7 linked regions of the Danio rerio genome follow. The protein of the gene in region 1 binds, or shares a complex with, the protein of each later gene. Links are inferred from orthologs where the notes say so. Each region holds a gene or a part of one and is shown on either strand. Other genes may lie near its edges. The genes, in order: snrpe, smx5, gemin2, snw1, prpf31, plrg1 and snrpd1.

Region 1 (4,078 bases):
GGTCTCCACAAGAACGCAAGTCCAATCTCTGCATTCTTGGAATTGAGAAACAGCCATTGAGTTGCTGCCATGTGATTGGCAGATTAGAAATTTGCCTTAACGAGCAGTTGGACAGGTGTACCTAATAAAGTGGCTTGTGAGTGTATATTGTACTGATAAAAGGAGTAAATATTATACACCGATGATGGCATATTTATAAAAATAATAATTATAATTCCCAAGTGCTGATTAGCAGAGAGATTGTTCCAGCACATTTTTAAACAAGTATTAATTACTAATTTCTTTTGTTTTTGCTATATTATTTTTAAAAGATACAAGCATTCAGCTTAAGGGTAATTAGCATTCATAAGCAATGATTATAAAGCATTCGTAATCAGGGAATCATTGGAGAACAGAGGTTTGTTCTGAAGCCAATCAAAAATGTAAATATTTCTTAAGGGGGCTAATAATATTAACTTTTGAGATTATTTTTAAAAGGTCAAAATTGCTTTACTTCCTTCCAAAGTAAAATAAATGTACATCTTCCAGAGGAAAAAAACATACATGACATATCGAGAAGATTTCCCAGTTTTCTGTTCAACAAAAAGAACTCACATTTTCACAGGAGGGCTAATAATATCGTCTTCTGCTATATTAAATAAATACTCATCACTTTATAATGAATTGCAGTTGAATATTGATTTATTGATTCAATGCATTGATTTAATTAAAGAATCCCAGTAGGGCTGGGCAATAAATTGAAGGCGATTTTTATGCGCATTTTGTCAGTTGTGAATTAGGATTTAGCTAACCTGAAAAGGTAGGATTGAGTTTTCATTTCAATTGATCAAGCAGCCCAGATTCCCAGCTCTAGTGTTATTGGTAAATCGGAGACTTTACTCACGATGATGCAACCCTCTATCCGCATGTTGACCTGTTCGTACAGCCACACCGAGATTCGGGAACGCTGCAAAGAAGCAGGAAAATTATTACCAACTGCTCATTTAGATTTTGTGCCAAGTGGTTTAAACAAAACAATTTTTAAAAAACATTGTATAAAAAAAAAAAAAAAAAAAAAAAAAAAAAATGCTGGATTGTCGGAACCCAAAATTGGGTCAAATATGGACAAAACCTTTTATCTAATGAAATTTAAATGTCACTTTTTAACCCAATGTTTGGGCGTGTCGATATTTGACCCTAAAATTATATTAAATTATATATATTAGATAATAGTTTAATTTCGAGTTTAATCATAATGGAGTAAACGGTTGGGTGAGTAAATAGTGAGTACATTTTAATCTTTAAGTAAACTGTCCCTATAAGGCTTGTGACTGTGTGAACATTTCAATATTTCAAATTTCAAAACATCCGGCCACAAGAAATGTTTTGTAACTCTAATAAAGATTAAATAATATACAGTGAAGACTCTGCAGTGTTGATTATCTGAAAACTATAATTATATTTTATCTTTACTATATTTTATTTATCTATGCTTGTAATTGATCTGTTATGTATTATTCAAGATTCACTCCTCTACAAAATTCCCCCAATCAATCCAAATATACCTGTTGAATCAAATAGGTAAAGTTGGTTTTATATTTACACATTCATTCATTTAGCACTGCAGTCTCTTTATTGTTTACCATGTTACCTTAAATATTCAGAATTAGCATGCACGTATGAGTTCTAAACAACATTAACACTATCTAATTCACTGTGAACAATGTACTTTGATAGTCATTTGCTGCTCATATGATTTCCCCATTTACAATTTGCAAAGAATACTTTTCTGTAATTATATTATTAAGGGGAAAGTCTGAATATCAGAATATAAAACCAACTTTACCTCTATTTAAATCACCAGGTGAAATAGTTTTCACATCGCAATATAGATCACAGAAATACAAAATATTGTAAAGTCAGATCTTTTCAATATCGCGCTAAATCAAGTGTACAGATATTTTTTCAACTAATTTCTCTGACTTTTCCAAAATTCTGTGGATTTCCCTGTTTTTACAAAACTTTTCCAGGCCTGCAAAATGCTGTGTCAAAATTCCATGACTTTTTCAGGTTTTCCATGACCTGTATTTTATTGAACGTGAAATTCAGAATGTGTGAATATAATTTAACAAACTTTACCTCAATGCTTACAATATTTTCATTTCTGAGAGAACTACCACTTTTGATATTTATCAAGACATCTATAAATCAGCAGGTATAACAGAATAAAGATTTTACTCTACAAAAATACAATAAACACATGAAAAAATAGACATATGTGGACAGATAAAAGCTTGTGTATGTCGCAGATTGAAAAACAAGTACTTACATTCTGTAGATACCTGAAAATAAGGTTCTGAAAGACTCGTTAAGGAAACAAATGACATATAAACACGATTCATAACCTTTTTCATTCATTTGTAACGCAGGGACACTGTTATAATCAGCTCAAACATTGCTAAAAGTATTTAGTATTCAAAATGTTAGCTAACACAACTTATATTACCTACAATAATATGCTAAACTATATTATATTATACAATAATATGTCAAAGTATATTACATTATACATATAACAGCACACATCCAACACATATCGGTACAATGGCGAGAGCTCAATGCAGCTATTTGGCCTGAAAGGATACGATGGGCTGCACCATGACCTTTTGAACCTTCTGTCCTTGTCCTCTGTACGCCATTCTTCTCAATAATATCCGGATGTTATTATAAAAAGTGACAAAATGTGATATTAAGTGTAATAGTTATTGGCGCGGCAACGAAAATCTCACGTTGGCTGCTGTTGTTTCAATGGCGGCGCAAATCCGGAAACAGAATGACGCAGATAAAATGGCGCGCTGATTCTATGTAATGCCTCCTGTGGCTTGGGGAGACACTACAGAAAGGCAGATTCACACAATTTTATATAATGCTTTATTTAAACTTTATATAATGCATACTACTATTAAAAGTTGTTAAGACGTTATGTGCAATAATAATACACCGGTTTCAAAGCAAAAAAAAAAAAAAAAACAGAAATGTGCGCACATCTAAAAATTTCAAAAGCAGGTGCTCGATCAGAAATAAACAAAGTAGCAAAAGATCAAAAGATAATCGGCATACTCCCACTTTAGCTCTCAAAAAGTCCTTTGATGACAAAAACTTTCGACCATGGTCTTTATACCGGTTTCAATCAGCATTTACCCTTAGAGTTTCATTTAAACGCTTTATTACATTAAAAAGTACAGCTATTCCATTTAATTTCTTATTAAATATACCAAGGCTCCGCTGATATTGAAATGTAATGCTATTGACGCATTAATAGATCATAGATATATGTAATAGATCACATTTGAAGCGTAGTTTTCGACGTAGTACACAAGGTGTGTGTGACGTACCGCGCAGGCTTTTGCACGGTCAGTGTGTCTGTTGTTGTTTAAAGAGACGCTCGGCGGTGAGTGATTTAGCCATTTTTATTACATTTATGATTATATTTCTGTTTATCTTTAAGAGTACACAATTCTAGTGAAAAACTGTTCATTTTAATACGACTTAACTGTATGTAAGCTGAGCTTTTGTAACGTAATGTGGCATGGCTATTAGCTAGCCTAGCTTATCTTGTTGTCAACATTGGCAATTATATTACTTAGCTCGATCTACATTTACTTAAGGGAGAAGAAAATAAGGTTAAAAATATTGAATTGACTAATTGTATATGTATATGTTGTTTTAGTTTCGCGTTAAACTCTATAGTTTATTGTTTAGTAGTTGTTTCTCAATAGCTCAGCACAATCCATTATCTGTAGTGACTCTTAAATATTTGTATTATTTAAAATATTGGAATATATTTGTTACCAACTTAGTATATTTCTCTCTTGTTTCGTTTGTGTATTTGATATATTATGTATTTATAATCTGTATAAATAATATATATTTTTTTAAATTGTCATTGAAAATCTGATGTTTTCTTTGTTTATTTTGTAAGTTATACTTTGTCCATCAAGAGGACATTTTCTGCGTACTCTGTGTACGTCTGTGTACTCACTTCAGCAAGTTCTGACACAATAAAAATAATTAAAAAAACAAACATGCTAGGAATTGC
Region 2 (3,965 bases), on another chromosome or scaffold:
TAGTGTGGTCTACATTCGCTTTGATAAAGCCATGATTACTTTATTAGCGCATAAAAGTGCCTAAAAAACACAAAACAAAGGCACTGGTATATTTTAGGAACAGTAACTACGAGTTTCTTTTACTCTAAACAACTTACTTTTTTGTTTGGGACTAGGCTGTAAACTACAGGTGTCAAATTCAGTTCCTGGGGGGGCTGCAGCTCTGCACTGTTTAGTTCAGTTTAAGTAAGCACAACCAGATTAAAGTAATTAAATCTTTCGGGCTTCTTTGAAACCCAACCCTGCTCCAATACACTTGGAACTGAACTGTGCAGGGCTGCAGCACTCCAGGAATTGAGTTTGACACCTCTGCTAAACTATCCATTCACCTTAACCCAAGGGTGTCCAAACTCAATCTTGGAGGGCCGGTGTCCTGGAGATTTTAGCTCCAACCTGCCTCAACACATCTGCAATTATGTTTTTAGTAAGAGCTTGATTAGCTAGCCCTGGTGTGTCTGATTGGGTATGGAACTAAACTTTGCAGGACACCAGCCCTACAGGACCGAGTTTGGACATGCCTGCCTAAACCAAAACACCAGCATTCCACGAACATAATTTGTAAAATGCTGTCAGCTGAACTCCAACAATGGACGATTTTTTCCACCAAAAGGAAAGTGTGAAAACAGAGGAAAATACTTTATTTTTGCATCAATGTGTGAACCTAACTAAAAGTCATTGGTATGCAGTACAGAACTTTACCAACACTCATTAAAAGCACACAACCACTAACTTGTGAAGTAAAAAAAAAAAAACAGTAAATCACACCCTCAATAACAGGCTTCACATGACGTAAAAATGAAAGAGAAAAAAAAAACTTTACATGTTTTAGGTAAGAAAAACATTTAAATCAACAAAACTCCACAGATGATGCTTCTGAACATTGGAACAAAACCAAACTATTCTCAAATATAAACATTATTGTTTCTGTTGTGTAGCTTCTTTGCGTGCAGCATCCTGTAGTAGCTGTGTGTCCACTTCATCTGCAGGAAGCTGAACGTATCGCACCACTGATCCACGAATGAAGCAGTTCTTCACAGACAACTACAACAAAACAATATTAGAGTCATCTATATACACCAAAGTTCTCCTTGTTGAGCACCTACATCACTATGACAATTCATAAATCACAGACTTAATAACCTGATCTACATTAATTTAGGAATCAATTCAATTATCAGGGTTCCCTCTTTAACCCTTTAGCTGCCTGCTCTATCAAATGGTTGACCGTATTTTCACCGTTTTAAATAATGGTTTTCACTACACAGCATTGTTGGTTTACAAAAAAAAATCCTGTTGCAATTCTACACTTGCTTTCTAGTTAGTTTTTTTGACAATAAAACCAAAGCAATGTTATATGAGAATCTGAAAATATTTTATTGCATATTTCAAAAAATAAAGATGACTTAGTATTCAAAAAAAAATTTTATTTTGAATATTCTTTAAAATAAATTGGTCCTACACTTGCTATTTTCAGATTTTTCATAGTATTAATTTCTGTACTTTTACCATAAACCAATATATCAACCATGACATGAACATAACAGGCTTCTGTAGTGCTTATAAAAAATTGTAATATTAAATTAAAAATATATTGAAATGGTTTTAGCCATTTTATTACATTCATTTAATAGCCACTATGAGAACAACAAATGATAATTTACTTAATATAAAAAAAAAATACTTGCGGTTTGCATGGCTGTAAATATCAAATATATTTTAATAAAGAAAAGCTAAAATGTAAAGTAACAAACAAAAAATCCCTGTTATTCCATGAATCTGACAAAAATATATCAACATTTCCTAAATTTCAATGTCTGAAATGAACCTTTTAAAATTCCATGACATTGATAAAGATATTAGACCCAAGATTATGAGTGTAATTTTCATTTCATCCATTTCTCACCATGTGCGGATATTTCTCTGGATCAGTAACACTGATATCTGTCAGTTTGATGTTCAGGTACTGTGAGGGAAGAACAAATGACAAGATTAACTTAATCCTAAATCGCCCAATATTTGTTTATATTAATAAACGTGTGGAGTCAGTTTCCGTACCTGATCAACTGAATGTAATGTTCCACATATGCTGCAAAATAGATGTGTTCATAGTTTTACGAGCTGGCACATACATTATAAAATATGTATATTCAATTTCTAATTATATATATAATATTTGTAAAAGAAAGGTGAGCACTCACCTCAAGTCATTCTTGAGCTCCACCACAACATCTTTGCCAACCAAAGACTTGAAAAACGAGTAGAAGAGCTGAGAATAAACATTTGAAGGAATTACTCTCAAAATATGAGGCGGACAGCAAATAAGACATCGATAAAACGATTGAATCAAGTTTTATCAACAGACCAAATGAGAAATGTCAACAGCAAATAACACTGCTTTCTAAATTACGCAGGCAAATGAAATACCAAGACTTTAATATAATAGGAGTCAGCCAGAGTTGTTTCTGTTGGGCATTTAATTAAGGGGATAATCCTTGCTTGAGAATGTTGTTTTATTTGGCTATGAAGAAAGCTAGCGTTAGCTGTTAGCATGAAGCATTGTTTGTCTTTCTCGCGAACACAGTGGTCAAAAAAACCTAAATATGTTAAACAAATGGTCGTAGCACGTTTATTAATTCCTTAAACGTAAATTACTGTATGATATTGCTAAATAACAACACTTACCATTTTCACGCGGCTTTGTGCTTTAGATCACATACGTCATCAAAAAGCTGCCGGGTCTTTCACTCTGTGCTTCTATTGGCTAGAAGAATGAAGACGTAAAAATCCCATTGGTCGCGAAATTGTTGGCGTTTTGTTCTGTTTTTGCGTCATTTGTACTCATCTCAGTAAATTATTCCGCAATCGTTCATCACACAAAAGAGATTAAAAGGCGCATGTTCAATGGATGTGAAATATTTTCTTAAAACAGTCAACTTTATGCCCGAAGAGGTACATGACATGTCTGACACAGAGCTTGCTGATACACGTACATGGCTCCTCTTTTCTGGCAATTCCCTCTTTCGTCAGCAGATGGAGACAAATAATAATAAAGCACAGTCCAGGGCTCAGGTTAATCCTCTGCGTTATCCCCATTTATAAAACAAAAAAGCAGTCCACTTACAAAACGCTATATTGTAAAACAAAACAAAACCTCCACGACATGCTAATGATTATAATGTTTTTCACGATTATGTATTTATGTGCATCCAAAAAATGTAAATTCAGCCAATTTAATCAATTTACTTGTTTAAAACCATCTTGATCTTTCCATATTTTGAAGAACGTTGGGAACCTGTAACCATTGACTTTAATAGTATGACAAACAAATACTATGAATGTCAGTGCTTACAAGTTTTCAACATTTCTGAAAATAAAAATGGATTTTGGATTCTCTATAATTTAAAGATAAATGTTCCTAAACATATAGAGCCTTCTTATAACATTATGCTTTAATATGCATTCTCCTGTTTTTAAAAGCAAGCATTCTGAAAATTACCTAGAATGAATATAAGCAGGGATGGGCAGTATTTATGATAGGGTTGATGGAAATGGCTTAATGTTTTGTATTAAAAATACATTAATGTCTTTTATTTTTGTAGTTTAAAATATTGTAAAATACTTTGATGCTAAATGTTTGTCACTGAAACAAACAACATAACAATAAGTCCTACAATAAGTCCTACAAAAGGGACTAAGCCGAAAAGACAATGAATGAATAAATGAGTGGCGATTCCGATGCTGTTTCAAATGCCAGTAGTTGATCTGCAGATGCACTGTACTGTTAATGAAAAAGAAAGATGTACTGTATGCCTAAACATGTAAAAGTGACAACATGAGAAACGCACATTTAATAATTAAAAACTTCTGACAGGTTATACAGAAGGAACATGATATAATATATGAAAAGTTTATTTGCAAAAAAAGAT
Region 3 (4,016 bases), on another chromosome or scaffold:
AGATTTAATTTAAGCCCAATAATAAATAAAGTCCTACCATGACAACATTATCATCCAAAAACTGAGCTTTCCAATGCTGACGATGCTTGTTCACACTCTGAAACAAGAAATATATGGATGAAACAAATTACAAAAACAAATTCTAAAAAGTCTAAAAGTACTTAAAGGGATAGTTCAACCAAAAAGAACATTTACTCTGTATTTACTCCCCCTCAAGTGGTTATCAACCTTTATGAATTTCTTTCCTCTGTTGAGAGGCATTTTGAAGAGTGTTGAAAACCTGTAACCACTGACTTCCATATTAGGAAAAAGAAATACTGTAGTAACAACAAATTCTAAATACTACTACTAAGTCAATAGTTACAGGTTTTCAGCTTTCTTCAAAATAAAGGGTGAGTAAATGATGACAGAATGAAATATTAAATGAAAGTTGTCATCATTTACTCATCCTTTATTTTGAACAAAGCTGAAAACCTGTAAAACCTGTTTTTTTTTTCATCTGCTAAACACAAAAGAATCTATTCTGAAAAATGTTGGAAAGCAGTAACCATTGACTTCCATAATATTTGTTTTTTTTTACTATGGAAGTCAGGTTTCTAACATTCTTTATAATATCTTCTTTTGTGCTCAACAGGAGCTGAGCCGAAAGGCAAAGCTTTCGATTTACCGGTCAATCTACGTTCCTACTCTCACCTATGGTCATGAGCTTTGGGTCATGACAGAAAGGACAAGATCACGGTTACAAGTGGCCGAAATGAGTTTCCTTCGAAGGGTGGCAGGGCGCACTCTTATGGATAGGGTTAGGAGCTCTGTCACCCGGGAGGAGCTCTGAGTAGAGCCGCTGCTCCTCCACATCGAGAGAACTCAGCTGAGGTGGTTCAGGCATCTGTTTGGGATGACTCCTGGACGCCTACCTAGGGAGGTGTTCCAGGCATGTCCCACCAGGAGGATGCCTCATGGAAGACCCATGACACGCTAGAGGGACTATGTCTCTTGGCTGGCCTTGGAACGCCTCGGGATCCCCCCCGGAGGAGCTGGAGGAACTGTCTCGGGAGAGGGAAATCTGGGGTTGTCTCCTAAGACTGCTGCTCCAGCGACCCGGCCCGGAAAAGCGGCAGAAAATGAATGAATGGATTTGCTCAACAGAAAAAATAAACTTGAAAAAATTTGGAACCACTTGAATAATAGTAACATTCATAAATAATGAGTAAATATTCATTTTTTGTGTGTGAACTATCCCTTTAAAGAAACTAATGTGGTTAATATTGAACACCTGTCTGACTTCTGAAAATCTGCTGACTTGTTGCTGCTGCCATTTAAAGCTGGGTGAAAAACCCTCAGGTGCAGCAAGACAACCTGTGATCTGAGGCAAAAATAATGGCACAGTTATTTTACACATTACAGAATTTATAACAGATTATTCAGTTCACTTTTCCCACTTACAGACACATTCACTGACTGTTTCTTCAGCTTCTTTGGATCAATTTGTGCCACAACAACATCTGGACACAGAGATGCTTCCCTCCTGTAAAATATACAGTAGTCGATATTTAAACAGGGTCTTTTTATTAAAGTTGCCCGAAAACCATTGAACAACACCCACTCTTGTCTTAGAACAATTTCGAAAAGCGTTTTCAATCCACTTGTAAAATGCTGACTACTATAATGTTCATCGAACAAGAGTCAAAGTCAAGCATAGTTTCATCAACAAGAAAAAGCTAATACAGCTTTAAAGTAGTTTTGTTTTTCCTGTTGCATTAGAATGTGTAAAATAACATTTTTTACAAACAATATTTACAATAGTTATTCTGTGTAATAGTAATTTATTAGCCAAAAGCATTAAAGTGTAGCCCCAAATCATATTTTGTTAGTGCCACTGTCCTTCGGATCACTAGTTTTACCAATTTGATCAATTAGTTCAACGTGCTAAGCATTGGGTAACAAACTATGAGGTTCTAGGTATGAAACCAGCATAGAGCCACAATCTTGACGGGCGGCACGGTGGCTTAGTGGTAACCACTGTCACCTTACAGCAAGAAGGTCACTGGTTCGAGTCCTGGCTGGGCCATAAGGCATTTCTGCGTGGAGCTTTAATGTTCTCCCCGTGTTGGTGTGGGTTTCCTCTAGGTGCTCTGATTTCCCCCACAGCGCTCTCTCTGTGAGTGTGTGTGTGTGTGTGTGTGTGTGTGTGTGTGTGTGTGTGTGTGTGTGTGTGTGTGTGTGTGTTTTTAGCTGGTCATCTCCCAGCCTGCCCAGCTAAGACCAGGCTGGAAATGACTGGAAACCAGCCTGCAAATGGCCATAACCCCTCTCAAACAAGCCTGGTCAACCAGCTAAAACCAGCCAACCAGCCTAGGCTGGTTTAAGCTGTTTTTTTTTTCCAGTAGGGTTTAACAACATAAGTACTGTTTAATTGACTGAATAATGTTGTACTTTAGTAGTCATTGGCAGCTAATATGATCTCCTTCTTTACAATTTGCAAATAATACTTTTCTAAAACTGTATTATTGATGAGAATGTCTGAATGTGCGAATATTAAACCAACTTTACCTCAATAGCCGAAAGACTTACTGGACAAATCTGAGATATTCCTGAGGGTTTCTAGGCGGCTCGGTAAGAGTATATTCCTCTGTGTCGCAGGAATCCACTGGCAGGAGTCTGGGCATCAACTCCTCGGCGTCTGACTTCATCTCTTTGCCTTATTTTTTATGCACGACCATCAAAATAAATCAACATGCTCACTATTACGTGCATGTCAACCTCTCCATTTTGAAAACATTGGACACGAGGATGACGATCAATAGACGCGACGGTTCTTTTATTCACTCGCTTACAGATGGAAAGATGTGTAGCGACATCTGTTGTTTAGGAGAAATGTGAAGGGTAACAACATAAAATGGTGGAGAAATATTGTACAAGTAGAATATTTTTTATTTACTCCCCAATAAGGTTAAATAAAAAGGAAAAATTATCAAATAAGAGCTGTGTTTTTTGAAAACTCTACCCCTTCTGCTATCTCACATTGAAACGGTCTTTTTGATTATTTAAACTGGGGAAATATATGGTCCATACATCAAGTTTTTCCTTACTAAAAAGGTAAAGGAAATATCTTTTAAATTATTACATAACATTTATCCTATCAAAAATGTCTTAAAGAAAAGATTTGGATCATACTTTGATACAAATATCTCCTTTTGTCAGATTAACGCTGAAACTCCTCGCTTATTTTGGTCATGCAATTGTCCAAATATTACTTTACAGCATTTTTCTGTGACTACAAAAGTCATTTTTGGTGTTTTTTATAACAAAGTTTAATGTCTACTTTAAAATAAACCTTTTTCTTTATGCAGATTTTATGTTCATAAATGTATATTGTCAATGTCAAGTTGCAAGCTAACATTTCTAGCATTTACAAGAGATTAAAAATTACTTACAGTTCCAGATTCACTTAACAAGAAAGTACTCAAAGCATACCATTTGCACGACCTTTATAATCAATTAAATCTCTAAATTGCTGCTTCTTATTTTGCCCTCTTCACTTTCAATTTTTTTTAAATCTATATATCTACCCTCAGATCAGATGGCCTATTGATATTTCTTTGTTTTTTGTTTGATTTCTGTTGGTTGTTCCTCTTTCTTTTTTCTTCTTTTTCATTCTTTATTGGCACCATTGTAAATAATCTAATGATTATTATTGTAAATGATGTGCACCAAATGTATCTTTCTGTAATACAGTAAATGTATTTAAAAAAGATAAAGAAAATATTACACAGGTATCCCTGCCATCTGTTCATTAATACATTTTAAAAAGACATTTCATCAGAATGTTTTAAACCTGAAAGTCTCCTACATCTATTTTGTGCTTGTACATTTATTGACGACTTTTGGAAACTGGTTTCAGGGTTAATTTTTTACTCAGTTTATAATAAAATTATATATAATTAACTTGGATGAATGCATGATTCTTTTTTAAACTGAAAACTGGCCATGATACACTCGGTAATGCTTTGAAGTTG
Region 4 (3,500 bases), on another chromosome or scaffold:
AAAAAATGCATGCACCTCTTATCGGGGGCGGCTCTGGAGATGTTCCTGTCATGCTGCCTATCTTTCCTCCTATCGTGACGAATCTCATCACGCTCCCTGACTTCGGAGTCTTCACCACCTGAGACAAAACCAGACACATAAATGGTGATGTGACAGCATTATGAAGGTCTAGCACAAGGATCAGTTTAAAACCAAGGTTGATCTCAGCTTCAATGACTATTTCATGGCTTATTTCATATTTATACATGACTTATTTATAAAACAAAACAACAAAAATCCATTAACCACAATAAATAACATACAAAATTTTTTAACAGTTTTTTTAAGATCAACATTTGCCAAAACTGTAAAGGATTCAAGTACTGGTCTAAATACTATTATTTTCAGCTTAGAAGCTTTGGTAATAATGAATATCAAATATTCGAAGCTTCAGAAGGTGGGGTAAACATTTTTTTTCTCTAATAAAGGCAATAAACCCTGTCTGTCTGGGGTTTTTTTTTAACGTCGAGAACTGTAATTCCAATCAACTTCATGTGTAGTGGGTGTGTACATTTGGACCTAAATACTTGTTTATACTTCTGTGTTGAACAGGGCCGGATTAACAAATAGGCATTAAGCGATTCACGTCCATCACCGTTTGATTGACAGAGACAACATCACTAAAGAGCACAATAGATAGCAGCGTCAGTGGCGTAGCTCGTAAAGCGCATGGCAACATGTTTTGACGTGATCGATCCTGAACCGAATCCTTCGAATCCAGCATCTAATAAACTCTTCTTTTTTCCCCACTACATATCCGATTTTGCCTACTCCTCATCTCGAGGAAGGCAAGTAGGAATGATTAATAAGTGTGTGTATTATGGAGTATTTTTTTTTATTCTGCTTTAAATGCTTTAAAAATAAGTAAAATCTTTGTAGACTAGAAATATATGTACTGTACATCATTTATTTAAAAAAATTGATCTTAATTTTTAATTCAACTACAGGGGTGTGGCTAGGTAGGGGGCCTACAAGATATTGTGCCCAGGGACCTCTGAATTCTTGATCCGGGTCTGGTGTTGAGTGATCGTTGTGACCCACGGCACAAGCCTTGCGCGCAGCCGTGCATTTATACTTTTGCGCGCGGATAACATCAATATCAGTGATACAGCACAAACATTTAATATCAAAGAGGTTTAGCATGTATTAATTAGATTTTAAACCTTACCATTTGGTCAGAATCCAGTAAGTGCGCTATTCTGTGCTCCTGAATGGTTGTGTTTTAATTTCTGTTGCGTTTCGTCTGGTGCAAACAGCCAAATTGCTTATAACTGCAAATTTTGTCACGTAGCATGTTATATAGGGTATTATATAGGATATAGGGTTGCAATGTAACCTGTTCAACTAATGTTTACATTCGTAATATTTATATTATTTGCTAATTAATAACCTTATGTGGAACTCTTATGTGGAGTCTGTTACTGCTCACCGGAGGTCGCATTTCAGTCAGGAATGCATACTTCGAGAGCCTTCCTGACTTAATAAATAAAATATGCAGTTTTTCACCATGTCAACCCAGGGTGCAAAAATGTAAATGACTAAACTTTTATTGGACGGGCTAAAAGAACCAAAACCAAGATGGCCATTCCAGCACGGAAAGCACATTTTTTTTAGATATCTGCAAACGTATTATGGTAGTTTTATGCTTTAGAAGAGTCAAAAACTTTTATAAAGCACCTTTAAGCGTAAATGATTAATAAAAATGTAGCTGACAATTTAAACATTGACTATCATGAATAAATACCACTTTCAGAAAATGCTGTTTGTAGTGTAAAAGGTAAAATTGAATACTGAAAATATTTATTTAACAATTTGAATGTCATTTTACAATATTAAAACTTGCAACCTTAAGGTTTAAATGATGACACCTGTGTGATCTCTAACTGTTTCTGAATAATACTTAAAAGACATTCCCAATTCACTTTTTAAAACCTAGCCACAATGTTAGCATGGACTTGACATTAAATGAGTCTTTTGGTACCTTTATCACCGTGGGGTTTGATACCAGCTCTCCTGTCTCTGGCCATCTTAGCCAGCTCTCTCAGCTTCTCCTCTTTCTTTTCTTTTTCCTTCTGGGCCATCTTCTTTTCCACTTGAGCTCTCATCTCCACAGCCTCTCTGGCCTATTCAAAAATCACATAACCAACATTACCAAACTCAGCCTTGTGCATACATCAGGTGAAAGTAAAACCCTGTGAAGCTCTACAAAGATTGTTTAATTAGGAACGGTTTGCATTATAAAAAGTCTGCATTCCAGACCATAAATTGCTTTCCAAATTTATTAAAAAGACGCAAAATACTTTCACAGACTACATCTTGAGACAGATCAGTGGTTCAGACATTCTTCAGTCTTTTAGAATACTTTTCTACTTGTAAAAGTTAGTAAACTTAGCAATGTCTGTCAAAGTGTTAAGGGATGCGTAAACAAGAAGCGTACCTTTCTGTCTGCTATGTACAAAGCCTCTGCCAGTTTGGCAAAGTTTTCATTGATGTGGACGGTCTGGAGGCCTCGTCCGTCAGCCGCCAAACGCTTGTCTAGAGGAATGGTGTAACCCTGAGAAGTAACAAACGAGAGATGTGAGAAAGCAATGTGGGTTGTTTTCATGGTCAATATTTCGAACCGACAACAGACAGCTGAATAATTAATGAAGATTCGCCGGTACCTTTGCGTTCTTCCAGTTGGAAATACAAGGAGGAATCTTCCATTCCTGCTGTTCTTTCACTGTCATCTAAAAAAACACACACAAAAAAGAAAAACAATGATGTTTTGAGGTCTGTTGGGATATTCTCAGAAATACTTCAAGACAGGCTTGTATGAATTCGGAGTGTAAACAAAGCTGATGACTGTCGATGTTTGGGATCGATATTTGGAGGAAGCAAAACTCCCACCTTTCTGCTTGGAGAGTGCATGACTGGAGCAGGAGGGGAAGGAGGTCCACGAGGAATTTTCTTATTGATTCTGTAAGAAAACACACACACAAAAAAACACAGAGTTTCTTGAGAGTTTCCCTTATAGATCAAACTTACTTAAAAATTGTGGATGAAAACAACATACTTGAATCGAGGGGGTTCCATTGGATCTTTCTGCATTTCCACCATACGGATGACCCTCTGTTTTGCTCCAGAGTTAAATGCGAGACCTTGCTGAGAGGGTGTGTACCTTTAAGAAATATTAAAACAATTTGTTTTGACAAAACATTTTTGGAACTCAAACAACTAAAATACAGATTTGTTAACATCTTGGAGCGCAAAGACATCTACAGTGCATATGGAAAGTATTCATAGCGCTTCACTTTTTCCAAAATTTTTATGTTACAGCCTTATTCCAAAATGGATTAAATTAATTTATTTCCTCAAAATTCTACAGACAGTACTCCATAATGACAATGTGAATTTATTTGAAAATTTTTTTGAAATAAAAAAAAAAAAAAAACTGAAAAATCACATGCACATCAGTATTA
Region 5 (3,378 bases), on another chromosome or scaffold:
AACAATAGAATTTGCACAAAGAAATGATGGGGGTCTTCTCTAAGGAAAGTAGCTCAGATCGCCCAATGCAGTCTACAACTGCGCTGTGTGTGATTTGTCTTCATAAGGCTGCAGTATTTTGATTACTATTAATTACTGTTTAATTGGTATTAAAGTCACCATGGCATTTAAATTTGCTCTTATTTTTAAAATCATTGCCATTATTTATTAAATCATGCACCGCACAACATTTGTTTCTCATTTCAGGACTGCTTCAGATGTGATGTGTTGCAGACAAACCTGATCCTAATAATCCAGGTGTTCAAAAGGGTTATGAACACCTTCATTAGATGGAGAAGCGGTGTTTAATCAGGGTCGGAGCATAACTGAGCAGAGCTGCGGCCCTCCAGGAATTAAGTTTGAGACAACCACTTTAGATTATTTTGAATGTAATATTAGTTTCTTACAGGACAAATAAAAAAGTTAACAAGCACTAAAAAGAAAAAAAGAAAAAACTCTGGTCCAACTAGATGAGCAACTTTATTCACTCAGTGTTGTTTGTAATTGTCAAAATAAAAATAAAAAATTCCTTAAAATGAAAACTTGCATTTACAATGTTCTGTTCTATATAGACAGCACTAAACACCTTTGTTTGATGAAATACAAAAAGAAAACCAAATGTACAAAATGTGCATGACAGCAATCCTCATGATGTCACCGTCCCCACACAAGTCCATCTGAGTGGGTGTGTGACAGATTCACACTTCATCTGCTAATTTATCCATGGCTGTCACTGCATGTCTGATGCGCCGCCGCCGACGCCTCACACCTTGTCCTCCTTCTCACGCTTGACCTTGAGGAACTCAGCCATGTTGGAGAAATATTTCTGATTGGCTTCAGCCACCTTCTTCTCTGCAGCCTGTGGGTTCACAATCTCCAGCCCCTGACAGAGAACAGATGCTTTACTAACAAATCAACCAAACCAACGCTGGCAGTCTGAGATTCAGCACGCCACAATGAACCAGAACGTGCACGAAAAGAGTCAAAAGCAGCTGGACTGCGAGACAGTGTACCTGTAGAGGAGTGAAGGCCACGCTGGAGCTGGTTCCAGACGATCGGTCTCTCACTGTAGACTTGCCTCCGTACGTCATGCTCTGCTTCTGCAGTGTCCTCTGCAACAACACAACTGATGTAAGACCACGTGTGTAGAAATAATGGATAAAAATAATGACAACAATCAAGCTGACACATTCAATTCTGTTAAAAAAGAGCAAGGCAGCAAATTGACTCAGAGGTGACAAGTGATTCAGGAGGATTTATCCCAGATTAATGTCCTTGAGAGGCTTGTTTAAAAAAGAAATCATTAAAATAATGATTGAATGGGCTCTATGCAGAGCTAGTGTTTTTCAGCCAATGATGAACTTCTGGTGAAAGCTTAATGTGACTTATCAATTTCATAATGTTCCTTTTACAGCATCAATGTTGTAATGGAATTACAATACATTCGGTTAAATAGACTTCAGCAAACAATTAATGAGTCTCATGGCTTTCAACATTGATATTATTAATACATGTTTTTTTTTAGCTCTAAATCAGCAAATTATATTGAATGATTTCTGAAAGATCATGTGACACTGAATGTAGTTGGGTAATGTTGAATGTAGTTGGGTAATGTCTGTTGAATTTTCAGCTTTGCCATCATAGACATATATTTTATTTTAAAATGTATGAGAACAAAATAGCTTTCAATACATTATTATAGTTGACTTTATTATAAATGGTAAATTTATTTCACATTTTTTTTCAATTAATTTTTTTTATAAAAGCAGCCTGACGAGCACAAGAGGCTTATAAATAAAATCAGTATTAATTAGTCATTTAATATAATTTTTATTTATAATATCTCTTTAATAAATTGATCACTTATCGGGAACTTTTCAATAACACAATACAGCTCAAATTAAGGACATGTGGTTATTTTACTGGCTTGTGTTTTGTTTTTGTTTTTAAATCCGTATAAATTCAATTATGTCAAACTTAAAAAGTCTTGAAAGATGACTTTATATAATTTAATAAAATAATAAATAATTATTACAAAGCATTTCCGGTTTTCCAGAGCATTTCGTATGTCTGCTTTCATTTTTAGCCCAGAATTTTCATTTTGGTACATCTCTAAAAAAAACGCACCAGATTCGAAAATATAAGCGAAAATATAAGCAAATTAGCCATCTGTGAAAATGCCCCAAGCAAAGAAAATTTGCTTTCAAAGCTTCATTTTCCCTTAGTATTTGCTGCAGATGTACCTGTAAAGATTTGGATATTCTGGCTTTGGTGGAGTCGTTGACCTGAGCTTGTCTGACTCTGCCACTGCCAGATTTTCCCAGCTGACCGAGACTGAAGCCCAGATCCTCCTGATAGGCATCGTCCTCAATCTACACAGAGAAAGAGAACGTTAATAACCCGCAGTAGCTGAATCAATCTATAGAATTTCAAAAGCAAGCACACTAATGGAGAGCTGCTGATGCAGTTCATCTGACCTCTGCAAAAGTCATTCTGTTGGCGTGTTTCCTGATCTCAGTCAGTCCCAGTCTTTCTTTCATCTTACGATACCTGAGAGAACCAGGAAAAATGCAAGTCAATCAAAATAATTCTTTAATATATGAAAGGTTTCTTTTTAAAGACAGATAACTCAATATTTTGTAATTGTAGATATCTTGTTTTTGTTGTATATTGAGGAGTACAACAATAAATAAAAAAAACATGATTTATTAGGAAAAACAATGGTCAAAAATCATGTTTAGTATTGATGCGTACAATATCGACTGAAGTCCTTAAAGGCCATGCGTCAATATAGTTTACTTGTTTTCTTATGATCACAACTTAATTTTCTTGTGATCTCAACATAACAAAGTTGATCTCTCATGTTTGAAAACCTATTTTTTCTGCTTATTCCAAGAGTATATATTTTTGTTACTTTTTCTCATTAATGCACTTGTCATCATCATTATTTTTTCTCTAAAACTTAGTCATTTAAAAGTGCAGTATGCAAGTTTGACACCCATTGGTTGAACTAGGTATTGCAATACAGGATCAAAACACATTTTCACTGGGCTCCTCCTCTGACAAGTCCATGCAAGCGCAGGTTGCCAGATTTATGCGAGTGTGCCTGACTATCAAGCCTAAAGGCTGATTTGAACAGCTTGTCAACTAAAAGCAATGGCACGTGATAGAAGAAATATTTGTTATACAAAAAAGGAGTTTTTGTCCTAACAAAACTGTAAATTTCTATTTTAGAAACAGTTAATCTTGTTGTTCACCTGTGAGAAATGGATCACCTCAGGTATAGCTCATGTGCTTTATTCAGTGTTAGATGCTAACAATGTGAGTTTGAATGCCATT
Region 6 (4,088 bases), on another chromosome or scaffold:
CGTATGCTTTCACCCATGAGAGGAGTGGGCGGGTCTGCGACCAGCTCCTCCATGGCTGCAGGACCAGATGGCTGCCCACCCTCATCGCACTACATCCATATCCCCTGTTCCCATCCCAGTTGTCAATGTTGTGTCTTGTCTGTGTGCTTTCTTGTGCTAGATGGGCTGTTTTTCTCCGTCTCAATTTGCTCTAATCAAGAGCAAAGTTTAGAGGGTATTTTTTGCCTAACCCTCCTGATGCATCTTGCCTTTCTAAATGCTACCTCCTGTGACCTGTCTTCCCCTGAAAATTGTGATGTTTGTGTACGGTCAAATTTCACAATACGAAAGTGTATGTGACAAATAAAGGCCTGATTTGATTTGATAAAGCCTAGACAAACAAGCCATCAGTATATTGTAAACCGATGGGTTTAAATATTCCTTTCCAGTTATCAAAGAAATATTTTGTTCCTTCATTTTAGTTTTGTAACTATTAAATTGTTTTAAATTCAAAATTGTAATATATACATCACTGTAAAATCCTATAAATGGTTATCTCTACAAAAGATGTCTGTACAGGCGTACCTGTTCCAGACAAAATCTCTTCAAAGTGTTTCATATTAAACTCAAATCAAATGCGGCACCGCACACACTGTTTGCTCGAGTGTAAAGAAAAAAAACTATTCCCGAAATCATGTTGTACGCACCCAAACCTCCGCAAACTCCGCTACGATGTCACATTGGCTGCGCCTACTCAATCGAACTAGCTTAATTTTAATTATGTTCCAGAGAATGATAAAAATGATAAAGCTCTAGCATTTGACAAAGGACAGCTTCCAGAATGTTTCCAAGTTCAGTGTTGGATTCGGCTAAAACTCCTCCAAAGAAGCAGAAGTTGCAACCATAATAGACAAAACTGATATTTATATTTGTTATAATTGATCTACTACATGCACAGTTTCTATCATTAACGGTATGCTGAAGCAAAGACACAAACAAAAATGTAAACAATGGGAAATGCTGTAGGGCACTACTAACAATTTGGCTACAAATTCATATTTGTCCATCAAACCCTTGTAAACAGCCACAATCTTTACCACGCTGCAGTGTCTATGAGGTCGATTTCCCTGTGTTCTACATCTCAGACAACAAACTCGCAAAAGATATGTGAAAGTTTCATATTACTTACACATGCTTATTCCGGATATATGTGAAAGACACTTGTCAGGTTTTATTTTAGAGAACGGGCGTGAGGTTCAGCTGTGTCCTTTTCTTTTTCTTTCTGATTCAGGCTCAAACTGATATGACTAACAGCTAAACTGATTGACAGTATTTACACAAGCAAAGGCACAGTGCATGCTATTAGAGGTGCATTTCCTGGTGACGTGGAGCCGATCTGTGAATCACAGCACATTATGTTAGCTGACCAATCAGAGCCTCTTGAGGACAGGCTTTTGAAGAAACTAGGAAATGACAGTTGTTTTCATGTTAGCTGAGTAGTTGTATATAATCAAAGTAAGATGTTCTACAAATTAAACATGAGCACACATTGCTTTGCATCTTATAAACACAACAAGGCTTAAAAATACACTCTGGACCACCCCTTTAAAAGCAGGACAGTCCAATGAAATTTGTTTTGCAGATAAGGAAATCTTGTAAAACAAGCATTGAGTAGGATCTTCACAGTGGTGATGAACAGCCTGTCAAATGCTGTAAAATGTTATTGTAAAAAAACATGGCTTTAACAAACCCTGTAACACGAGTTTATAAATCACCACCACCATTCAAAATGTCTTTTCTGCTTGAAAAGCCAGTTTGCTCAAAAATTAAAAATGATTCACCCTCCCAATTGATCCAAACTTGTCAGATTTTTTTTTAGTTGAACACAAAATAAGACATTTTGAAGAATCTTGGAAGCCGGTAGCCAATGATGTCCATTGAGGAAAAGTTGGTTTTATATCCGTACATTCTTTCAGTGATAACTTGTGACATGCTCCCTATATTGTTTACCTAGGTACTTTGATCATTCAGTCTGAAATCACATATAAATATGACTTCAAAACAACATTAGCACCATTTATTTGACTGTGAACAATACTGTATTTTGATAGTCGTGGCTGCTAATATGGTTTTCCCATTTAAAATTTGCAAAGATTACTTTAACAAAAATTATATTATTAAGGAGAAAGTCCGAATGAGCGAATACAAAACCAGCTTCACCTCAATGTGACGCTTATAATATTTTCCCTACTATGAATGTCAATGGCAACCGGTTTCCAAGATTCTTCAACATATCTCAATTAAATAGAAACGTATTAAGGTTTGGAACCATCTGAGGGTGAGTGAAAGGTCTATATCGATTTTAATTTTTAATCAACGTTGCCATACAATACTGAGAGCAAAAAGTTTGATTATTTACCTCTGCTCGTCCTGCGCTATAGGTTTGGCATGATCCGCCACAAACATATCATGAGTCCGTTTCAAAGAGCGAAACACAAGCGTGTGGACTGAGTGCTTCTGCACGTCCTGTGTGTATAAAAAAGACAAAATATCAACATCGATTAATTGATTGGATATTATAAGACGTATATGCAGATCCAAATGACCACACGTGTGGTAATACAGTAACGTTACGCCGCGTTCAATTACAGAAAAACTAAACAGATATCATTTTCAAATGAACAACGGCTAATGCAACAACAGCACAGCCTTACCTCGGTCATGTTTGGGGGTCCTTTAAAACACGACGAACTAACGCAAATAAAGAAACTTCCCAACACACCGAACAATCACAACCCGAACCAGTAGTGCAAACGTACGCACAGCTTCCGGGCGCGACAAAGCGTTTTCCGGTAGGGTGTTACGTCAGCAAGACACGACAGTCCATTAAAAGTCTTTTTTTTTTCGTATTTTATTTTTATTTTTTTATCACCAAAAAGTCAACTTATGGCCATTTACAATAAACACAACATTTACAGTATCGATGTATTTGGCTGCCAACAACTTTGGGAAGACCACATTAAACACTAAAGTTAATGACTGCTTATGGGTTCTAAACAAACAAACCAATAAATAAATAAATAAATAGATAGATAGATAAATAAATAAATAAATAAATAAATAAATAAATAAATAAATAAATAAATAAATAAATAAATAATGTAAAAAGGTCAGGCAGCCAATTTAATTTATTTCATCTGCTAGTTTTGAAAATTTAGGATGTAGTAAAAGACCTACTAGTGAGAATCCACAAGGTGGCACTATAAAATAATATACTTTTTTGCCAAGAGAAAGTGTTTTTTTTATTTACATATTTTTAGATATATGTTAAAATTTGGTATATGATGCTTTATAAATATTACAGACCTTGAAAAAAATGTTTGTTTATATATAATAATATTTAAGTGATTTTATATAGCCTAAACTTATGAAAATACCTCCAAACATATTTTTGTTCATGTTCCATAACTCTGGTCACAATTTGTTTTAAAAAATAAGAACATTTTACTAAAAATTTATATTATTTGATTTTCATCAGCTTATTTAACATTTCTTTCTTCAAGTTTATTATTATTATATAGGCTAATATTGTTTATGATTTTTTATTGTAACTAAATGCGGCCATCCCACACATTTACATGGTCCTTACCGGAATTAAAATAGCTTTTATTATGATAGTTTATTAAAGCTAAAAAAACTACTTTGTATGAAAACAAAATTAGTAGTCCTATGTAAACTGACTGACTGGGCCGCCTTGATACCTTACTCACAAGATATCAAAATATGAGGTAAATATAATATTTTCTGTGTCGTTTTTTATTGTGTGTCCTTACCATACCATACATTATTGAACTACAAAAAGAAATGTTTATTACTGTTTAATTGATGTATATTAAGATGATAGCTATCTAAACCTTGATAGCTGCCATCAACATGGCATATTTGCAATAATATCATTAAAGGATTGGTTTACTCAAAAATGAAAATTCTGTTATTAATAACTTACCCTGATGTCATTCCAAACCCTCAAGATAATAGTTCATCTTCAGAACTCAAATTAAGATATGTATGAATCTAAGAGCTCCCTTATCCTCCATTGACAGCAAAGT
Region 7 (4,208 bases), on another chromosome or scaffold:
ATCAGATTAGACCATTAGCATCTCACTTGATTCTTCTGTAGTTACATTGTGTATTACAACTAGCAAGAAATGAAAAGTTGCTATGATCTATATCAGGGGTTCCCAAACTTTTTAACTCGTGACCCCCAAAATAACAATTTTAGTAACTCACAACCCCACTATCCTCTGAGGTGGTTATAAGTAGGGCCAGATGGAATCTGCGGGCGTTTTTTGCTATTTCTGCGGAGAGTTTTGGTAAAGATCTGCGGAATTATTTTGGGAGTATCATAACTAAAACCTTAATATATGACATAAAAAAAAATATCTTTATATAATTTTTATTTAATGTTTAAAATGCTAATCCAATTAGATTCACATTATTTGGTAAACAAAGCAAGTCTCTCATATAATATCTCTACTAAAAGACAGAAAATATTACGGTACAAACTGCATTGTACATAAGTCAGACGAACATTTTCATATTAGTCAATAATATTACTGAAATAAATGTAAAAACTGAATTAATATAGATTTACACACATTTACTCAAGTAAATAAACAGAATTAATGATGGGCTAAACATCAGCGGAATTCAGCTCGCGCAAAATAAGTGTGGGCCTAGTAATAAGCATACAAACACTGTACACAATAATGCACACACACAAACCAATAGCAACTATATAAACAAGCTTATTGACAACACAACAAAAGTGCAGCAGTTTATCAACCATATCATTTTATAGTCACTATTCATTTGTTTAATTTAATATTAACCTCACTTAATGAGAATTGTGAAATATATACAGCACAAGTCTATTCTTGATTTAATTTCGGAGACCGCCACTTGGAGATCGTCCTCTATGTTCAGTCGTGGCCTTTATTTTTAATGTACAGGAGTGCTGTAAATGTGTCAAAGTTTAACATTGAGCCGTAAAATAAATCTGCTGCAACTAACACTATTGCTGTGTTATTAATCTAGCGTAATCACTCAAGGAGTCGTAATCCAATGGAAAAATAATGTAAACGCTGCTGTCTGTTTATGTACATGTTTTTGTTTTAAATGTAACTATTAAACACTATCTTCTGCAGGTTATGGATAAAATATGGTAATTTTAATAATTTATTTATATGTATATATTGGAAATCACCAAGCAACCCCCCCTCAAGGACTCACGACCTCCCAGGAGGTCCCGACTCCCACTTTGGGAATCACTGGTCTAAAAATTGAAAATCTCCACAAGTAAAGATGTAAATTTTCACACAATACCATGATCTATTGTTTTTCTGCTCACATGATTATTATAATACGAGTCTGACTCAGTGGCATTAATTCATCAACAAAGTATAACAAGTTTTCTAATTATTATTATTAGCACAATATAGGGCATATACAATGAGTCTTTTTAATTCAAGTTTATTTGTATAGCGCTTTTTACAATGACTAGTGTTTCAAAGCAGCTTTATAAAAGGTGCACAGTATTGCATAACAATCCAATTAAGTCAAGTCATTTTCAGCTAAAAGGTTAAATGCATTTTTTCCGGGAGCTGACAGATGTAATTGAGGTAAAGTTGTTTTTATATTCACACATTCAGACTTAATATAATTTCAGAAAAGTATTATTTGCAAATACTAAATAGGGGAATCATATTATCACCAAATGACTATAAAGCACAATATTGTTTACGGTCTAATATTGTTTTGAAGTCATTCTTATATGTGATTTCAGATCAAATATTCAAAGCAGCGTGGTAAAAAATAATGAATCTGTATTCACCTTTTTAAATACTGCTTTGCTATTTCATAGAACGCCAAAGTCTAAACCTGCTAATATAAAACCAACTTCACCTCAATATAAGCACATTTATTGGCCACCTATGAGATGTAATGCATCAGATTCAAAGAGAAAATGCATAATATGACCTCATTTAATGAAACAGGCACATAGCAGACAGTTTATAAATGTGATTATGGTGCATTACTTAAAATAATAATTACCTGTAATTGTGCCATGGACCTGTGTGCCATTCTTCAGCTCAATCGTGACGGTTTCATGGCTCAATTTCATCAAAAACCTGCAGGTCACAATCATAAAAACAATGATAAACAATTATAATAACATAACGTCTAATATCTACATATAAAGCATTTTGTCAATATGATTATATAAAGTATTTACAGCTTACTAATGATAATAAACTGATAACTATATTTAAAACAAATGATAAACTATATATCCAATAATCTTTAGACTTCCTAACTACACACTATAGTGTCTATTAACATAATTATATGATTATATACAGCTAGCATATTTAGAAACTAGTAAATAAATGTAGCTAACTTAGCATTAACAGTTATTGTTTCTGTTTATGTATTTGTTGCATTTAAGACCCCGCATGATCAAACTACCACCAAAAAACGCACAATGTATTAATAATCTAAGACTAAACCCGCTTATTACATAGTTTAAAACACGTATGTGCTTAAAACAAATGAGTAAAACGTTCAAACAAACGCTCGCCCATTCATTCATTCCCGCCTGATGAAGCTAACGGCTAACTAGCAGCTACACACAATCCGGCTCCATCTATTAAAATACATCGCGCATCCGCAAAGTTTCTTTGTGTATTTTACTTGTATGACAGCTGTAGATGTTTATTACCTGACGAGTTTCATGATGGCGGTGGACTTTGAGAGAAAATCCTCCACCTAGATGAGAAAAAATTGTAGCGCAAAACGAATGTAGGACGCTACTGGAGAGATGGTACAATCACTTCCTGGGTGAAAGGGAAACAGAATTCTGAGGACAGAAGGGTTGCCATTACTCAACAAAATCACCGGAATATTTTTACACGCTGGTAATTTCATTTATAAGCATGTTATAAACATACAAAAGCGAATTTAAAATTTTAAATGTTGCTACAACAATTTTTATTATGATAATAGCTTAAAAGTATTTTTCAATTTCGATATCTCATGGTACATAGGTTAATAAAAATACACTTTTAATTAACCAAAACAACAATAATTTAATCTCACAGTAAATAGTTTCCTTAAAGCATTCTTTTAAAAAACCAAAACAGCAATATTAATCATATTTAAGGCTTCAATTGCGTTTTAAGATAATAAAAGTATAATACAGATTTAAATTTTGACACTTTTTTTTCATAAATGTTTAAATCTTTTCCATATCACAGCGCAGCTACAAAATATGATTTATTTTAGACTATGAATAAAAATATACTATAATAAAATATTAACTTTATTCTGTTTTTTTCTTTGTAATTATATTTTCTTAATTCAAAAAAATAGCATTCAACATCCACCGGAATAGATTTAGTTTTAACGTATCTGGCAACCCCACAGTGACGATACAGTAAATAGGTTAATAAAAACACACTTTTATTAAACCAAAACAGCAATAATACCCATATTTAAGGCTTTACTTGTGTTTTAAGATAATAAAAGTATAATACAGCTTTAAATTTAGACAATTTTTCATGTAGTGTCATTTTCATATCAAAGTGAAGCTCCAAAATACTGTTTATTGTAGATAATGAATAAATAAGATACTATAATATAATGAAAGCTTTATTCTGTCTTTACTCTATTTATATTTTCCCAGTTTAAAAAAAAAGCTGCATTTAACAACCACAGGAATAGATTTATTTTTAACGTATCTGGCAACCCTACAGTGACAATATCTCACGGTAAAGGTAAATAGGTTAATATAAACATACTTTTAATTAACCAAAACAGCAATAATAATCAAATTTAAAGTTTTAGATGCGTTTTAAGATAATAAAAGTATAATACAACTTTAAATTTAAACAATTTTTACGTATTTTTTATACTACAGTGAATCTCTAAAATACTATTTATTTTAGATAATGAATAAATAATATACTATAATATAATATAAAGTTTCTTCTGTCTTTGTAATTATATTTTCTCTATTAAAAATAACATTCATGCACAGTTGTGGATTCAATTTTAAAATATCTGGCAACCCCGTGGCGATATCTCAAGTAAAGGTAAATAAATTAATAAAAACATACTTTAATTAACAGAAACAGCAATAATAGTCATATTTAAGCTTTAATTGGGTTTCGAGATAATATAAGTATAATACAGCTTTAAATTCAGACACTTTTTTCACGTAGCAAAAGATTTAATTTAACGAATCTGGCAACCCCGCGGCAGGAAGTGAATCCCGGAAGTGAGCGCT

The links.
Region 2: snrpe (region 1) and smx5 share a complex: the UniProt entries of both Homo sapiens proteins name them as parts of the U4/U6-U5 tri-snRNP complex. The link is inferred for Danio rerio from reciprocal best matches to the Homo sapiens genes SNRPE and LSM2.
Region 3: snrpe (region 1) and gemin2 share a complex: the UniProt entries of both Homo sapiens proteins name them as parts of the SMN-Sm complex. The link is inferred for Danio rerio from reciprocal best matches to the Homo sapiens genes SNRPE and GEMIN2.
Region 4: snrpe (region 1) and snw1 share a complex: the UniProt entries of both Homo sapiens proteins name them as parts of the minor spliceosome. The link is inferred for Danio rerio from reciprocal best matches to the Homo sapiens genes SNRPE and SNW1.
Region 5: snrpe (region 1) and prpf31 share a complex: the UniProt entries of both Homo sapiens proteins name them as parts of the U4/U6-U5 tri-snRNP complex. The link is inferred for Danio rerio from reciprocal best matches to the Homo sapiens genes SNRPE and PRPF31.
Region 6: snrpe (region 1) and plrg1 share a complex: the UniProt entries of both Homo sapiens proteins name them as parts of the minor spliceosome. The link is inferred for Danio rerio from reciprocal best matches to the Homo sapiens genes SNRPE and PLRG1.
Region 7: snrpe (region 1) and snrpd1 share a complex: the UniProt entries of both Homo sapiens proteins name them as parts of the SMN-Sm complex. The link is inferred for Danio rerio from reciprocal best matches to the Homo sapiens genes SNRPE and SNRPD1.

What each region holds. Positions count from the first base shown.
Region 1 is NC_133186.1:40,122,906-40,126,983, reverse strand, and holds the start of snrpe (small nuclear ribonucleoprotein E), read right to left. Parts: upstream 2,801-4,078; 5' UTR 2,679-2,800; coding exon 2,625-2,678; intron 2,336-2,624; coding exon 2,309-2,335; intron 947-2,308; coding exon 884-946; intron 1-883. UniProt on the Homo sapiens protein: Plays a role in pre-mRNA splicing as a core component of the spliceosomal U1, U2, U4 and U5 small nuclear ribonucleoproteins (snRNPs), the building blocks of the spliceosome.
Region 2 is NC_133181.1:30,702,745-30,706,709, reverse strand, and holds smx5 (smx5), read right to left. Parts: upstream 2,801-3,965; 5' UTR 2,725-2,800; coding exon 2,722-2,724; intron 2,306-2,721; coding exon 2,238-2,305; intron 2,126-2,237; coding exon 2,095-2,125; intron 2,003-2,094; coding exon 1,943-2,002; intron 1,081-1,942; coding exon 955-1,080; 3' UTR 20-954; downstream 1-19. UniProt on the Homo sapiens protein: Plays a role in pre-mRNA splicing as component of the U4/U6-U5 tri-snRNP complex that is involved in spliceosome assembly, and as component of the precatalytic spliceosome (spliceosome B complex).
Region 3 is NC_133192.1:14,292,630-14,296,645, reverse strand, and holds the start of gemin2 (gem-associated protein 2), read right to left. Parts: upstream 2,801-4,016; 5' UTR 2,691-2,800; coding exon 2,572-2,690; exon of another isoform or gene 2,551-2,571; intron 1,526-2,550; coding exon 1,444-1,525; intron 1,364-1,443; coding exon 1,274-1,363; intron 98-1,273; coding exon 38-97; intron 1-37. UniProt on the Homo sapiens protein: The SMN complex catalyzes the assembly of small nuclear ribonucleoproteins (snRNPs), the building blocks of the spliceosome, and thereby plays an important role in the splicing of cellular pre-mRNAs.
Region 4 is NC_133195.1:5,542,395-5,545,894, forward strand, and holds part of snw1 (SNW domain-containing protein 1), read right to left. Parts: intron 3,200-3,500; coding exon 3,095-3,199; intron 2,999-3,094; coding exon 2,929-2,998; intron 2,769-2,928; coding exon 2,703-2,768; intron 2,594-2,702; coding exon 2,477-2,593; intron 2,163-2,476; coding exon 2,021-2,162; intron 119-2,020; coding exon 16-118; intron 1-15. UniProt on the Homo sapiens protein: Involved in pre-mRNA splicing as component of the spliceosome. As a component of the minor spliceosome, involved in the splicing of U12-type introns in pre-mRNAs.
Region 5 is NC_133191.1:35,281,639-35,285,016, reverse strand, and holds the end of prpf31 (U4/U6 small nuclear ribonucleoprotein Prp31), read right to left. Parts: intron 2,590-3,378; coding exon 2,517-2,589; intron 2,412-2,516; coding exon 2,283-2,411; intron 1,152-2,282; coding exon 1,053-1,151; intron 923-1,052; coding exon 803-922; 3' UTR 749-802; exon of another isoform or gene 717-748; 3' UTR 501-716; downstream 1-500. UniProt on the Homo sapiens protein: Involved in pre-mRNA splicing as component of the spliceosome. Required for the assembly of the U4/U5/U6 tri-snRNP complex, one of the building blocks of the spliceosome.
Region 6 is NC_133176.1:27,248,398-27,252,485, reverse strand, and holds the start of plrg1 (pleiotropic regulator 1), read right to left. Parts: upstream 2,801-4,088; 5' UTR 2,703-2,800; coding exon 2,694-2,702; intron 2,506-2,693; coding exon 2,399-2,505; intron 1-2,398. UniProt on the Homo sapiens protein: Involved in pre-mRNA splicing as component of the spliceosome. Component of the PRP19-CDC5L complex that forms an integral part of the spliceosome and is required for activating pre-mRNA splicing.
Region 7 is NC_133194.1:2,232,850-2,237,057, reverse strand, and holds the start of snrpd1 (small nuclear ribonucleoprotein Sm D1), read right to left. Parts: upstream 2,801-4,208; 5' UTR 2,657-2,800; coding exon 2,643-2,656; intron 2,053-2,642; coding exon 1,976-2,052; intron 1-1,975. UniProt on the Homo sapiens protein: Plays a role in pre-mRNA splicing as a core component of the spliceosomal U1, U2, U4 and U5 small nuclear ribonucleoproteins (snRNPs), the building blocks of the spliceosome.